2 linked regions of the Tamandua tetradactyla genome follow. The protein of the gene in region 2 purifies or fractionates together with the protein of the main gene of each other region. This does not show direct contact. Links are inferred from orthologs where the notes say so. Each region holds a gene or a part of one and is shown on either strand. Other genes may lie near its edges.

Region 1 (7,712 bases), on a different chromosome or scaffold from region 2:
AAACTTCCACAAAACATTTTATTTTATTCCTTCCTATAAGTGGGAAAAAGAACTTGAGGACGTTAAACACAGCAGCACATTATTGAGGACCCAAGATTTGCAATTTGACACTCTGACCTTCATCACTGCAAATAAAACAGTGAAATTCACATTGTGTGCTGCAAATATGATCATAAAAAGATAATGGCTATGTTTTGGTGCCACCACTCTCTTCCAGCACACACCCAGGGTTCAAAGTTAGAAAGAGAATTGTTCTTCTTTGGAAGATGTTTTGTTTAACAGTTATTGTAGAATATTTGCTCCCTGAGCTATGCACAAGTCTAAGAAGAAAATGGCCATGCATTATTTGGTGTGTGACCTGAAGAGTGAATTGTTCAAAATAATACAATTGGTATTTAGAACTATTGAGAGTTCAGATGAATAATCATCTCCCCCAAATTATGAGCTTTACAAAAAAAAAATTGCTGTTCTAATTGAGATTGGCAAGTAGAATATACTGCAGAAAGGAACCCAATTTATGTTCCAAGAAAGCTCTAGGAGAAAAGAGAGCCCATGCTCTGTAGAAATCATGGTTTCTAATATGACTACATGTATGGACTTCATCTACAGATTCAAGAGAGAATCTATCCAGGACACTGATAACTTTGAGAAGCTTCCATCTCCCCAAGCTCCACTTTTGAAAGTCTGAAGCCCATGTTCCCCTAATGCTATATAACTAAGGTCACCCTACCTGCTTTTAAGGGCAAAAGAATTTGTGAGCAAGTACAGATGGCAAATGTTGACCTTATGTTCTCTGTGTGCTAATTTCTCCAAAACATGTAAAGGTCTGGATATACTTTTCATGGATTGTTTGAAATCTAAGCTTCAAGATAGATCCAGCCATATATGCATTTATGGTGGTTTGGGAATCTAATATGAACAAAGTTAACTGCTTTTTGACCTCACTGGAACTCATCTTGGTAATGTTATGCTTAGTTTCCTGGTGTGCCTTAAAATATTTAAAGGATTTCATGGAATTTTAACTGGAAAAGAACATTTTAAAAATCAAATTCATGTGAAATGTTGCTTTATTATCTGGAGTGGATAGGTGTGTGTGTCTGTTGTGTATGTGTATCTTTGTGTGTTTTAAATAAAGAATGGTAGGTGGTATGGAGATGGAGCTAAGGGAAAAGACAAACACAGAATAGGTGCTAATTGAACAGCAAACTCTTCTGGTGTCCAAAGTTTCCCATAGATGTTGGATATAGGTTGTAGTAATTTGTGTTCCCATTTCATATTCTGAGTTTCTAAGCACAAGTGATGCCATGCATCAAAAGAAGGATTCTGTGTTTCTTCAAGTTAGTGCTGGCTTCATTAGGGTAGGGGGAGAAAGGGCCTTGGACCATTATTTAGTCCTTAGGGTGAGCACAGTGCCTTTATGGGACTTAAAAAGCAAATAAAGGATCTAAATTCAGCCCTTTGAACCTGGGACAATTCTGAAAAGCTCACACAGGGGGTTAACTTTAGAGGTAAGTTGGTATCTTTTTCTTATAAATGAGTTCAATAAGTTTATTGAGAACCACACATGCAAATTTTATGGGCAATATGTGTGATAGCAGCAACAATGAATTTAACTTCCAAAGTTTGTATCACTCTCCTATTAATCCCAGCATCCATTTTGCCTTCCCCTGATACTTGGAAGCAGGTGATACAAAGGAGAAAAGTATGTTCCTTTTAAAGTAAGATCAGCCTACTTTCCTCCTTCTCAAAATAACTATATTCACCAAAAAAGGGTCTTCTATATTGATTTTCACTAACTTCACATTCTTAGATTGTGAATGATCTCCAATCAGCTCTATTTAAGCATTATATTTACCAGGAAGTCTTGGTTACCAGGGAAGTATCCATTTAGATTCGCCCACCTGAGCACTCCCTGTACTATATTCTGGGTCAAGTACACGCTTCCCTTCCTTATGTTTTACTGTGTTTAAAAACACCAATCATTATGAAATGTTCATGAGACATTTTTTGTTCCTTCACACTGCATCCATACTTGCTTTCCAGAATGATTCAATTCTTTAAGGCTTAACTATATCATGAGAAGAATTTCTTCAGGGAGAGAGTAGGAATTACAAATCCGTTTGTTTGAGGATGTTTTCTTGACAGTGAGGTGATAGAATTGTGACATCTGAAAGTATACCTTGACTTTTGGTGACATGTACAGACTACATAGATTTGCTCTCATCATGTCTATTGACTCAAGAAATTTTCCCTTAGGAAAAAAAATGGCAGTTTTTAATGTAGCATCATCCAAGTGTATACTATTCATTCCTTCTATTGAACTCAATGTATATTTTACCCCAAGGGCATATTTTCCTCGTTGAGACTAATTTTCTCTAATAAGAATAATAATACCTTCTATATACCTAATACCTTCATCCCAAAAACCCTCCTTGCTTTGCCAGTTCCATGATGAGACACACAGAGCATGTACAAGTATAGCCAAGAGCCATAGCTCATTTTACACACAACTCTACAAGGTTAACCCTCTGTTTTCTGTTCACCTTTTTTGTTCCCTTTGACACAGGGAACTCTTGAGAAACAGAAAGTCTTAAGGTGATTTTGTTTAGTAGTTAGAATATTGACAAGTTTGATTCCAAAAGACTCATGTATGCTTTTTGGCTAGCCTTTCAAGAGGAAACTTCAAAAGTCTTCCAGAAAGACTCTTTCTGGAAGTAATAGAGCATAGATAACTTAGCAACATCTGACATTCCAGCACAGAATGTATTTTGACCGTATATTCTCCTGCTGGCAAAACTAAGGAGATACAGTTTAGTTCTAAAATAAAATTATGTGAGTTCAGTTCTAAAATAAAAATTGGGGAAGAAATATGGAAAGCACACCCACTCACATCAGTTACCATTTAAGGGTTTCATTTTATGTCAGAGCTTGAGTATAGAGCTGGTCTTGAATCATACAACTCTGGATTTAGTATTTCAAAGATCTCGAGGTATATAAACATTTACGGCATATCTGTATTTTGTTTTGAGTTGGCTTTATGTTACCTATGAATTAATTTAACTTCTTTAAGCTTTAAACTATTCACGCATACATGCACTGAAGTACTTTCATCTAGCAAGTAGCCACTGAAATCTACTGGCATGAAGCGTTCAAAACGCAAATGAAAAGTCTGCCCAGTCAAGTAGCGCTACGGTGATCCTTTTTTAAACACAGCAGCGGAGTGCCTGGTTGCTGGAACGGCCTGGCTGGGGAGACTTGTAAATGTACCATGCATTATAGAGCTCGGGCAGCGGGGCAGCGGGGGTGATTTAACACAACTAAAAGAATTTTTAACTTTTCCATTTCCTGACTTTCAGGGGTTTAAATTTTTAGCGTTAAACTGGCATTACCAAAGGTTTTACATTGAGTAATGGGATCATTATTTCTCCCCCCACTGAAAGGCGGGTCTTCAAGAATGGAACCATGTGGCTGAGCAGAACTCAATCCCAAAGGAATTGCATAGGAATCGCTCAGGCAATAACAACTGCTAAGGGAATTTGTGTTGTCAGCTTGCCAGAACATCAGATCCACACGTCTGGTCTTGCAGGAAGGTGCTAGAGAACTTTTTAAAGGTCCCTCTTGACCGTGACCGTGGCTTTCTATTCTTCCAAAGAAGTGGCTCACCCGTCTGCCACCATTTAGGGTTTGCATCTCCATCCTGAAGGAAACAGAACCAGCCTCCTTCTCCCCACCCTGTATCTACTGGGGAGTCTCAAGAAGAGCAGCTGCATGAATCATATCATAAACAGGACACTGGCCCAGCATTTCTGGTGGAAATCTGGGGTTGCAATCTTTCCTCTCTCCACTGCAGCCATTAAACTATAGGCTGGAGACAGCGCAGCAATAGAACCCAAGCTGTAATGCTTGAGTATGTAAGAACTTTCATAACAGAATTTGAAGAATTGGGATAAAACAAGTGTTGATATTGTTTGAAACTCTACTTCATATTCTTAAATTCTCTTCTCAAGAAATATATTTCTCTTAGTAGCCCATCTCTTACTAATTATAATCATATTATTAAATGCCCTACAAAGTAAATCTATGTGGTTAGCATATGCAGATAATCATATTTGCAGACATTTTTAAATGCGTGGGTAGCTTTTAAGTATCCAAATTATGTGAAGCATAGACAAACCTTTTGAAAAGTTTTTTTTTTTTTGCCTCTGTTAAAGTTTCATATCTGTACTGAACAAAACCAATAGCACTTGTTTGGGTTTTCCTGAAGACTTTTGACTAATTTATACTAATTTCTAAAACGTTTCATTAGAATGAAAAAAAGTTAATCATATAAAGGCAGCATCTCTCTCTCCCTCCCTCCCTCCCTCCCTCCCTCTCTCTCTCTCTTGCCCTCTCGTCAGAAAAACAAAAACAAAACAGGTTGTACCTGGTGACAAAATTTGTTTGCTCTGCAAAAATGTACAGTGCTTTATCCTTCCTGGCTTAGAAAAGAGTTTAGATGCTTTTGAGAGATTACATTCATTCCATTTTTACATTTCTCTTCCTTAGCCTCTGTGCACTCAGTAAAAACCATATTGTTGAGTCTCTCAGCAATCTCCTCAGAACTGCCCCCCAGCCATGTTCCTGGAAAAGTGGTCATACTCTGTGTCCCCAGCGGCCGGGACACAGAAGACTGTCTCACAATGCCGCACTGTTGCGGGGAGAGGTAGGCGGCCAGTTCCCTTGATGCTCGCGGTGGGGGTGATTGTAGACGGGCAGGACCATGCGCTGGCTCCGGGAGGAGGAAGGGGTGAGTCCTGGACGCCGCAGGTGGGGCTGGTGGACCGACAGTCTGCGGGCCGAGTGGCCTTCTGAGCCTGCCCAGCCCCGGAGAAGGTCCAACCCAGCCGGAAAGAAGAGCTGCGGCTTAGGACCTCCGGCGCCCGGTGCGGGGGGCGGCTGCAATCTCCAGCCCTTGCCGCGGCAGTACACGTAGCCCCCCCCCGCCCCCCCCCCCCCCCCCCCCCCCGGCTGCAGAGCTTTTTGACTCCAGGCAAGACGTGGGGTGGCGAAATCTGGGTCCAGATCACAGTTTCTGTCTGAAAGCATCGGCTTGGGTTTTCCCAGCCCGTGTCACCTTCACAACTCCCAAGCAAGAGACAACGGAGGATCAAATTCGGAGCAGGCAGTAGCTGCTGTGCGTTTCCCCCCAGGCCACTAAATGCGACCCGCTGCCCCCAGCCACCTCAGGGCTTTATCATCTTCTGGCTAACACTTTCCTAGGGTTCGCCTTTATCATGGTGATTTTTAAAATAATTTATTTCTCCCGCTGTATCAAGGGTAACGACAGAGTCAAGACGGACTCTGAAGATACACCCGAAAGGAAACAAAAGGCAACTGTGACCTCAACTCTGGTACAGGGAGCGCGACTTGTTCCACTGGGGTCCAGCTAGCTGGGTTCATTATGGGGTCTAATGTCATTGCACCTCGACCCCTCCGAGTTTGTTCCTACCATAGTAGTCTTAAAAAAGAAAAAAAACACACACACAGGCACACATCGAAATGATGCCCAGAAGGATAAATCAGGATTTCTTCAATCTGGGACTGGTAAGTTGGGAGTGCACAGGGGGCCAGACGGACATGTCCCGGCAATCAGAGAACACATCCCACGGAGGAGCAGCGCATTCCCGCGTCCTCCCGGTCCTCACCATGCCCCTCTCCCGCCGCTCCGGGTGGACGCTGCCGACTGCTGCGGTCACCGGGCTCCGCGACTCTAGGCCCTAGGGCAGCACGGGCCAGAGAAGGCTAAGCACCGAGCTCACGCAGCCGGAGATCAGTCTGTCTCCTTACGTCTATGGGTCAGCCCCGACCTCTACGGTGTCGATCCTGTGGCTGCAGTGAGGGCCTAGGGGGCAAACCTTTTTTTGTGTAACCTCAGTCGAATCTCTAAGATTGGATGCAGGAGGAAGGGGCTCCACCTTCCGTGCAGACACGGCGGTAAGAGGCTCCTTTGGGCGTCTCAGCTGAAGCTGTTGCTCTAGCCTAGGGAAATGACAGCCACGGTGTTTGGGGACACGGTGGGGGTTCAGATCCCACAGCTGTACTCTTAATTAATCGGGTGATCTCATTGAATCTGGGCATACTATGTGCTCTTATTTACTCTGTCTCTGTTTTCTCTGCTGTAAAGCCGGAAGGGTCTTAATACCTCCTTCGCAAGGTTATTGTGAGGATGGGGGCAGATCACTTATGAGAGCGCTTGGGACGTTGTGGACCCTCCATAAGTGGAGGATGAGTTGGAGAAGGGTGGGCCTAAGCTGCCCCCAGCTGCTGCGCGGAGACTCCTTGGCCTCGGGATTTCCAGCCCACAGCAGGTGGCCCTGAGTAGCCCCTGGGGGGCCCGCGACGGGGATCCTGCAAGACGTTTCTATGAATACCGAACGGTCTGACTCTCCGGCTGCTTTGGAGACTGATGGAGAAAGCAGAGGGATTTGGAGCCCAGGGGAGAATTGAGGGTGGAGGGGAGAACTGGAAAAGAGAAAGAGAAAGAGAGAGAGAGAGAGGCCTTTCTCAATCTCGGCAAAGCAGTGCGGTCAAATCCGACGCCTGTAGGTGGCGCCGTGACCGGGAGTGGCTGCGGGAAGAGGGGCGTCCAGGGACCTGACGACCTCGGGGAAACTCTCCGTGACTCCCACCCTGGCCCTCTGCTCCCCGGCTCCGCTTCCTGTTTTCGGGGAGGGGGGAAAGGGCGGTAACGAGGACAATGCAGCACGATTCCTCGCTCTCGGCGCCAGTGCGGGACCGGTGGGCTGTAGAGTGAGCACGGCTGTAGAGTGAGCACGGAGAACATGCTGCCTGGACGACTCCATGGGCGAAGCGCCACCCGTGAGGCGAGGGAGGCGCGCGGTGAACGAGCGCGGGCCTCTGCACCATCGAACAGGGGGGAAATGCCCGTGCCCAGCGCGCCGGCTCCGGCCTGCGGGGCTGACGCTGGCTTCTCGGATGCCGTGGACAGGGTCTGGGAGGGTCGTCCCCTCGGTCAAGGGGCGTCTGGCCCAGCCGTGCCACCATCTGACCCTGGACAAGAAGTACACAGGCCGGGCCTCCCAGACTCGGACAATCGAGACCTTGCCAGAAAGCATAACCTGGAGCACTGGGAAGGCCCGGAAGGGCTTCGCGTTTGCTGGAGCCTGGAAACCAGAGCTTGGAGGCGCCGCCTGGTTTGCGTTAGCCTGTTCCCTGAAGGGTCTGCAGAAGGAAGCGGCCCTACCCGCCTTGCGCGGCCGCCCGAAGTACCGAGGACAGGGTCTCGGACAGCTGTTATTTAAGAAGGCGAAGCCCACCCGGTAACTCTGCTTTTCCCTTAAGCAGCTGCGATTCCCTTGAGTGATGGTGGAAGGCGTCCTGCTCTCGTCACCCAGTCGCGTGTCCGCGCCCGGCGCCGCGACCCCGACAAGACAGAGTCTCCCGCCGGGCCGCTGCCCCCCGCCGGCCAGGCTCCCATCCTCGCTCTTTCTTGCCGCCCCACAGCCATGAGTTTCACCCCCTTGCACAAAAATATGTTCTTTCAGTTGCGGATTTAATAAACAAACGTAACCGTATCACATGGGGCTCGGCGCGGTCCTTCTGAAAGCAATTCTGTTCTTGAAAACTGAAAAATGGGTGTAATTTGCGTTCAGAAAGTGATGTTAAGGTCATGGCAATTTCCCTGCCGTTATTTGTTTTTACTTTGAAGTCTT
Region 2 (8,161 bases):
CCCTCCCCAGCCCCCATATACAAAATTAATTTAAATACCCAAAGTTTTCAGAAGCCAAGCAGCTTAGGACCCTCACTGAAAAAGCAGCTAGTAACTAAAGCTCTGTAAGTACCATTAAAGAAAAAATTAAGAACAAAAGGAAACAGAAATGCTTTATAATTTTTGTTCTCTCCTCCTAAAAGTAAAATACCTATAGCCTCAATTCCTCTTTTAATATTGTCACTTGTGTCTCAAAAACTCAGTGAACAAAAATCATGTAGAAGCACAGGTATTCTATAGCTCTTCGCATGGAAAATATTTCATACCTCGTCAAGGGTTTTTTGTTGCTACATTTCAACTATATGAAACCACTTGTTCACAGTTAGCTTTCCGAAAACAAAACAGTTTCTAAAACAAAGACTGTTTACATCTCTTAAGAAGCCTTTGTTCCAACAAGACCCCTTTCTAAGAGGTACAACTTCTGGAAAGATTTCCCTTTTTGTGGTTATATCAATAACAAATACTCCACAAAGTCTATTTGGCATTGGAGTTTGCTAAACAAAGGAGGAGGCAAGCCCCCTCCACACAAAGGCAATCTCCAAACAGAGCACTGGTTATTTTTGTAGATTAGTTGTGCCTCTTTATCATCCTTTCCCAGGCTGTAGTATGTTGTATTCTCAATACAAAATGGTGGCCATCATGTCTGACATTCAAAGTAGGAAAAGGCAATACAATCAAACATTTTGCAAAGGCAACTATTAATATGCTAGCCAAGATGGGGAAATGGGTAGCCAAACCTAATCAAAGCAACACTATCTTTTTCAGGAAAAGGCCCTATAAAAGTTACAGAATAAGAAAAGAAGATAAAGGGTTTATCCCAGCCTTAGTATACCACAATACCAACATGGAGGACAACTCCCAGGAACCAGACTCTTCACATTTCGGCTAACCAGAACTTACTCAAGTTGCCTTAATTATGAAGAAAATCTCACTTGTGCAAATAAAACTCAAATGCTAAATGTTTGAAACATAACCTATTCTTCAAGAATTAAAAATCTTGGTTCAAACCAGTCACGCTTAGCTAACTTCTGCAGGCCTCTTTGCACTCTAAATTTAGTTCCCCAGAGCAACAAGAATCAACCCTAACCACTTGAGAAATCCATTTTTTAAACGTTTCTCCCAAATTTGTTGGCCAGTTATTTTCTAAGACATATATTTCATCTCCATTTTCAAACATGACCAAGAAAAACAAAAGTATGGTGTCCTTGTTTTAATTTCGGGGTGAGGGGCAGGGTGGGAGCGCTAAAGACTTATTCAGGAATTTCCCTCAAAACTCTTCCAAAACAGAAATGACCACATACAGAATTCCTGCAACTAAAAATGTCATTACAAAGAGCAAAGTTAATGGGAGAAAGGGATGGAAGGGGCTCTTCCTACACTTTTTTTTGGGGGGGGGCGGGGGATTGGAGCAAGGAGAAGATTCTTAAACAGCAGGAAAGGCAGTTAAACCTCCGTCCCAACGGTCTCAGCCGGTCCAACCGTCGTTTACTCCAACTCGGACTTAGACGATCCCAAAAGTTGGACACAAACAGGGGGGTAGGAGCGCACCCAGCTCGGGGTCCGAAAGGGGTGGGGAGGGAGTTGGCCGGGCCTGCCTCAGAGAACCTTGGAGCCGTTAGGGATGATCTCAGAAACACACACAACCCCCAGTCCATGGCACTTTAGACAGGGCCTGAGGAGCTGAGGTGGGAGACTACACTTCCGTTCCTGGAGCTTGGGGGGCTGGGAAATTGAGTATTAAATCTTCGGAAGTCTTCTCTGACATCTAACCCATAAATGCAGCCTCGTCCCCACTCCATCCACCCCTCACCAACACGGCCCACGCCTCCCCCCAGGGAGCCGAGCGGTTGGGCCAGAGTCGGGTGCGACAGAACACCGGACCGCAGGCGGCATCGCGGCCCACCACCGCCGGTCCTGCCCTCCACCGCCCCAAAAGTGCCCTCCAGACACTTACGCCCCCCACAACACATTCGCTCCGGGGCTGGATCCGCGGCTCCTTCCCCGCCCTCCGGCAACGCTGGACTCCCCCTCCTCAACCCCGACCCGGGGAGCACCAGTAGACTCGAGGACAAGGGGGTGGGGGGTGCCCTGGTCTGGAGGGTGGGGCGCCCAGGTGAGGGCCACTCCGGGCCGACGCCACCACCACACAAAGGACCAGGGGCTCCCGCCGCCATATTGAAAACTTTCCTCCTCGCACGACAACTCGCAACTCCCCCACCCCCACCCCATCACACACCCCCGCACCCCGGAGGAGGAGGCGAGGACCAGCCTGCGGAGCCTCGCCGAGCCCAGAGCCAGCCCTCCCTCCCCGCCCGCGCCTCCGCCTGGCTCCGGGTGGAAACACCCCCGCCACCATCCTCCGTCCCCTGCCACCACTCCACCCGCAACCGAACTCGAACCCCCGGGCCGGGTCGCACACCCGCCTGCCGGAGCCCCGCGCCGACCAGGCCCTCCCGGTGGCACCACCAAACCCCCGCTTTCCCACTCTGAAGAAGCCCCAGTCTTCCTGCCCTGCCTCAACTCCGACCCTCTGGGCCGCCCCAAACTTGACGTCCTCTCCGCCCCCCGCGCCTCAGGCCTCCCCGGCCCCACGCGTCCTCGCTCCCTCCCCCAGCCGCGAGCAGGATCCGGAGTGCTGGCGTGACTCACCGGTGGCGGCCGCACCTTACAGATCCCCGTCTGCTCGGCTATGGGCCGGATCTTGTGGATGAAAGCGAAGGGGTCCGCAAACTCTTCCCAGCTGGGTTCGAAGACAGGGCACTCGGGGGGAGGCAGGAACTCGCCCAGCGGGCCCGGGCCCCCCAGGGGTAGCGCCGGGCGCGGGCCCGGGGGCAGCGCGGTGGCCGACTCCATCGCTGGGGGTCGGGCAGGGACGAAGAGGTGGTGAACTTGAAGACCGCGGTGCGAGGTCCGTTCGGTCTGAGACTTCTGCAGACGTAGCTTAGGCAACAGCAAGTCCGACTTGTATTAGCAACGGCAGCACCTTGGGCTTTTTCAGCCTTCCTCCGACGACGTCTTGCCGCTAACCCACGCCGTGCGCCTCCGCCGCCACGGCGAGGAAAAAGAGTCCCACCCCACCCCCACACGCACCCCCCCCCCCCGCCCTGTGCCGAGCTCCCCGCCCCGCCCCCGAACCGGGCGGGGCCGGGGCCTTCCTCCTGGCGAAGGAGTTTTATTCTTACGGTTCAGCCGAGCCTATGTTTATGGACCATTTACTTATGTGCCAGAGCCCCTGCCCTCGAGGAGTTAATAATCTGGTGGAGACGATCACACACATAAATCGATTGTTTCAAACATATCAATACACCATGGTAGGTGCCGTGATAGACACTTAGTAAAACCTGGCGAGGGACAGAAAGTACTGGGAGAAAAGGATTTCCCAGGTAGAGGGAGCCGCTTGAACATAACAGAAGGGATGTGAGAAAATAATAGCCAACACTTGAGCACTTGCGTATTCTAGACACTGTTCTAAATGCTTTTCTAAATTAGTCATTTAATCTTCACAATCATCTTAGCAGGTATGTGCTCGTATTTTCATTTTACAAACAAGGAAAGAGAGGCACAGACAGTAATCTGCTCAAATTCACACAGCTAACTGGTGATGGAAATTTATCTTTTGGGAGGTTGAGGTGTTACACGGAAAAAGAGTGGTCCACAAGCATTCTGACAAGGTTGATTGTAGAGAAATAAGGCTATTGCCATAGTCCAGATGAGAAATAATGGGTCCTAAATTAATGGGTGCTATTGACAGAGACAGGAAGTCAAATGTAGGAGATAAAAATAGGATGTAGTGATAGATTGGGGACGGGGCAGTGAGTGTATACCAGCACTGACATTGTTAGATTACGTAAGCAATAAGCAATCAGTCTTGGAAGGAAGGTAATGGGTTTACTTCTGGATAGGTTGAGTTTGAGGTGTTTTTGGTACACACAGCTGGAGATGTCCCACAGGCTTAAGGGTATGTATCTGAACGGAAGATATCAGAACTGGAGAAAATAATCTAGGGTTTGTTTTTTAGTGTATGGAATAAGAGCTATTGTTTAGCTTATTGAGTCTTCACAACAATTGTATGGAGTACATAATGGTATTATCCCCATTTTACAGGCCAGTGGAGGCACAGAGATTAACTTTAAGAGATAAGAACGCTTTTGAGGCACTTTATTTGGAGTGTAGAACTTTAACACTGAAAAGACCTCTTTTATCCAGAAAGCAGCCAAAATCTTGGAAGGACTGTTCTCCAGGGCAATCAATAGTCCTTACAAGCAATCAACGGTCCTAGGCCTGCTTTCAGATCCACGTAGAGGAAAGAAGTGCCGTATCCTTCAAGAGTCTTCACTTTTATTTTTTGAGTCTCCTCTTCATTTAAACCCTTCCCAGAGTTACCTGGCCCCAAAAGAGTTTAGAGAGGTACTCTGAAAAGGAAGTCCTTATCTTAGCGCTAGAAGTTTGAGACTAAGTCTTTCTCTGCTTCCCATTGCAATGGACATTCAGCCAAGGGCAAGCTGGCAACCTATTAGAGCAAAAGAAGTCATCAGTGTAAGAGAGACAGCAAATGAAAGTAAAATGTTAGTGGCAAAATCTAGGTGGATATACGAGAATTTAGTGAAAAAACATTTTAGCTTTGCCAAATGTTTTAAACTTTTTCATTATAAAATGTTGGAGGGGGGGATCATTGTTGCTTTTTTGCCATAAACACTCCGGGGCTTCTGAGGGTCTTAATGGAGTTGATTTCCTGTCATGTGCTCCCTCCTGGCAGAGCGCTAAAACTATTTTCACCCTTAATGTTTCTATCCTACAAGCCAGGTAGGTATAACTTTGCGAAAAATACTAGACATATATGAGTTAAAAACAAGTCTAAGAAAATCTTTCCCAATTTTCCACTGTGTCCTAATATTCTCTCACGTTCCCAACTCCAGAGGTCTCCCAGTCCCGCTTCTTCCATTTCCGGTAGTGACCCTAAATGATGAGATTCTGTTGCTCGTAGATTAGGCTGCAGCCGTTGGCTCCCCATGGGCATGATGTGACGTTGGGGTTGGGGCGGGGGGGGACGGTTGCCAGGGTAGTGAGGGGAACCTAGGGACCGAGACAGCTCTCCCGCCGGGCAGAAGACGCTTCTCCTTGCCCTTTATGATGTGTGTTTACATGGGCGGAGGGATCCCTCACCAGCTGACAGCCACACCGCGGCCGGCTCTTCTTTTTTTAAAGAGCCTAGCCACAGGCGGTGATTGGCCGCGGCCAGGGCCGCACCAGCCTCCGGGGGCGGGGCCCCGGCCGCATTGTCTCGTCTAGGGCCGGCTGGAAGCCCCAGAGGCCGGACCTGGGTAACCCGGGTCCGGAGGTGCCCGAGTGGTGCTTCCAGAGGATTGGGAACGAAGCCTGGGCGGGGTCAGGTTCGGGTTCCCGGGGAAAGCAGGGCTGGAACCCAGGCGGCCGAAGCGGAACCAAGCCCAGCTCGGAGTGCCACGTCTCCAGGAACCCCCTCCTTACTCTTGGACAACACTCCGCCCCTACCCGGGCCTCCGTCCCCCAAACCACCCCCATTTTGGCAACACCAGATACTTTGGACACATTCCTAGGGGTCTCCATCCTCATCTAGTCTACCCTTCTCCCCCGCACCATCTCACCGCCTCCCCAACCCTAGCCTCGGACCGACGTCCCCAGAGCTGCGGCCTTCGACCCTAGATCCTCCCGCCGCGTGACGAGTTGCTCCCCGCTCTCCTTCCGGCCGCTGCGATGGAAGACCACGCTCCTGGGTTCCATACTGGGGGAGCGACTTCCTCCCCACGGTCCCCTGCGTACTGCTAGGAACTGGGCCCCGGGATGAGGGGGGCAGGTCCAGATCCCCAGCTGCCGGGGAGGGGGTGGCGGCCCGCGCAGCACGTAGCGCACGTGTAGGGCCCGCTCCCCACCCCCTCCGTCGCCGACTCGGCTAACTTTCCAGGGCTCGGGGTGTCGACCGCGCGCCTCCCTTCCGCCTTGACCTCCGGCCTCTGCGCCTTGCTAGTGCTGCGTCCCTTCTGGCGTCATCTTTCCCTTCCGAACCCTATTGATACACCTATCTCTTTCTCTTTTTCCCCAGTTCCCCAATGCACGGGTTTTCCTCTACTTCTTTATAATAGATCTCTGTGCCTTATCTCTCCAGCTAAATCTCTCCCCACCACCTCTGGTACAATAGAATGTTTGGTGTCTGGGGTCCTTTGTGGAAACCCACAAACCTTTGGAATTCTCAAGATGAGCTGCAGCCTTTTGGACGTCCTTTTTTATTTTGTGCACTCCAGCTACTTCTTGTTACTCTATTAAGGCACTTAGAACTCGGCATTTACCTTATTTCCACATGCCTCTCCTACCAAACTTGTAAACCGCTGGCGGAAAGAAGTAATGTTTCTAGCCCTGGCACGAGGCAGGGTAGATGCTTCACAAATATTTGTGGAAGGGGAGGGAAAATGGTCTTGATTTTCTGTGGCCCAGACTGTTGAAAATGGAGCTTTGGGCAGCCAAAAGAAGAGTCTGGCTGCCCAGGTGAAACAGGAAGGGATCTCAGGAGAGCTCACAAGAGTTTGAGGGATTTCTCCCCCCACCCCCCACTGAGTGACCACCACAACTGAACACCACCTCTGTCCTGCCGCATTCCCCTACCCTGCTCATTTCTGTCCAACCCGCAACCTCTCTTCCTATGCTATCTGCTGAACTGGTCTGTGGGACTTCTGTGCCTTCTATTCTGTCCCACTCCCAGTAGTGGGGGCTGTTCTTGGGCTTCTGCCCCTAGGAAGCTGAGTCTGTGGCTGGGGAAGTGCCTAGTAACTAAATTCTTCCTACTCCTCATCTCCCTTTCCTCTCCAGCCCAGTATCCCTTTTCTACTGATCCAGCCCAAGGGGATGCAGGGTTACTGCAACTACAGCCCTGGATTTTAATTTACTTGGGTGTGGAGCCAAAAGGGTTCGACTCTTGTCTGGGCCCTCTCCTTCTGGAGCCTCCAACAGGCACTAGCAAATGAAACATTCCCAGGGTGTTCCCAGCCCTGTCCGTGGGGGTGGGGAAAAGCAGAGTTACCCACACCAGGGCTTCAGGGTGTGTTTCCTCCCGTTCCGGTTGGGCCACTTTAGAAGCCCTGGACTCCCACAGAACAATCTTATGCTGCCAAGAACGAGAGAAACCCAGGTTACATCTTCATTCCACAGCAGCCACCACCAACTCTAACTTTGGTCCCTGGGCTGAGCAGCCCTTCCCAATATGTTTTAAGGTTTTGGATCTCTAGAATGTTTGGAATTCTCTGTATCTGGGATGAAAGTCTTCTCATAGTATGAAAACAACTGCAACAATGTCAGAACTTTACAGAGCATCCACTAAACCCAACTAAAATTCAGTGCTCAACTAAATCATGTTGAGAGTCCAGCACAGGGTTTGACACACCAAATGCTAAGGGCTAATTCCCTTTCTTCGCTCCCCTGGCCATGTGTGTGGAAGAGGGCAGGGGTATGTGAATGGCTAGAAATTCTATAGTAACATGAATAACATGGGGTCACTGGCTGGGAGTGATTCAGACTATTGGACACATCAATGCTGTGAAGTAGGTAGATATAATTGTCACCATTTTCCAGACGGAAAAGTTGAGTTTCAGAAATTTTAATTAGCCAAAGCCACACAGATAATAGCAGAGTTAGGACTAGAATCTTCATCCTAGTACCTTTGTTCTTCCTCAACCAACCAATTGACTTCCCCGAAGCTGAGGAAAGGGGCACAGAAGCCCCATCTCAAATCTCACCACCGGCTACCCCTTAACCTGGCCAAATCACCCATTCTTTCCTCCTCCAAGACCCAGTGCCTTCAAATTTTTTTGACTAATCTACAATGCATTTGTTTGCATGCCAACAAAATTTCACAAAATACCTACCCTTATACAATGGTGACTTTATATGCTAGTTGAGATGAGACTCATTAAGTTGGTTTTGTTACCTGGTTATGGACTATGACCCTCAGTTTGAAAAACACTGCTTCGAAGTTAGCTTTTCCTGCTGTTTGGGTGGTTTTCAAGATACAGATCAAGATAATACAGTAGTTAGCTTTCCGTAGTCATACCCATCTACTCTTTTTCTTTTTTAATTTATTAATTAAAAAAATAAA

Evidence for each region.
Region 1: the proteins of KDM5B (region 2) and PAX9 purify together in Homo sapiens (affinity purification with western blotting, with the first as the bait; 3 studies listed by BioGRID). This does not show direct contact. The link is inferred for Tamandua tetradactyla from reciprocal best matches to the Homo sapiens genes KDM5B and PAX9.

The regions. Positions count from the first base shown.
Region 1 is NC_135340.1:16,928,762-16,936,473, reverse strand, and holds the start of PAX9 (paired box protein Pax-9), read left to right. Parts: upstream 1-4,616; 5' UTR 4,617-4,702; intron 4,703-7,389; exon of another isoform or gene 7,390-7,712. UniProt on the Homo sapiens protein: Transcription factor required for normal development of thymus, parathyroid glands, ultimobranchial bodies, teeth, skeletal elements of skull and larynx as well as distal limbs.
Region 2 is NC_135330.1:60,011,582-60,019,742, forward strand, and holds the start of KDM5B (lysine-specific demethylase 5B), read right to left. Parts: upstream 3,089-8,161; 5' UTR 2,893-3,088; coding exon 2,689-2,892; intron 2,210-2,688; exon of another isoform or gene 1,994-2,209; intron 1-1,993. Other genes in the region: uncharacterized protein LOC143680256, read right to left, coding at 4,478-4,549, 5,689-6,039, 7,091-7,174. UniProt on the Homo sapiens protein: Histone demethylase that demethylates 'Lys-4' of histone H3, thereby playing a central role in histone code. Does not demethylate histone H3 'Lys-9' or H3 'Lys-27'. Demethylates trimethylated, dimethylated and monomethylated H3 'Lys-4'.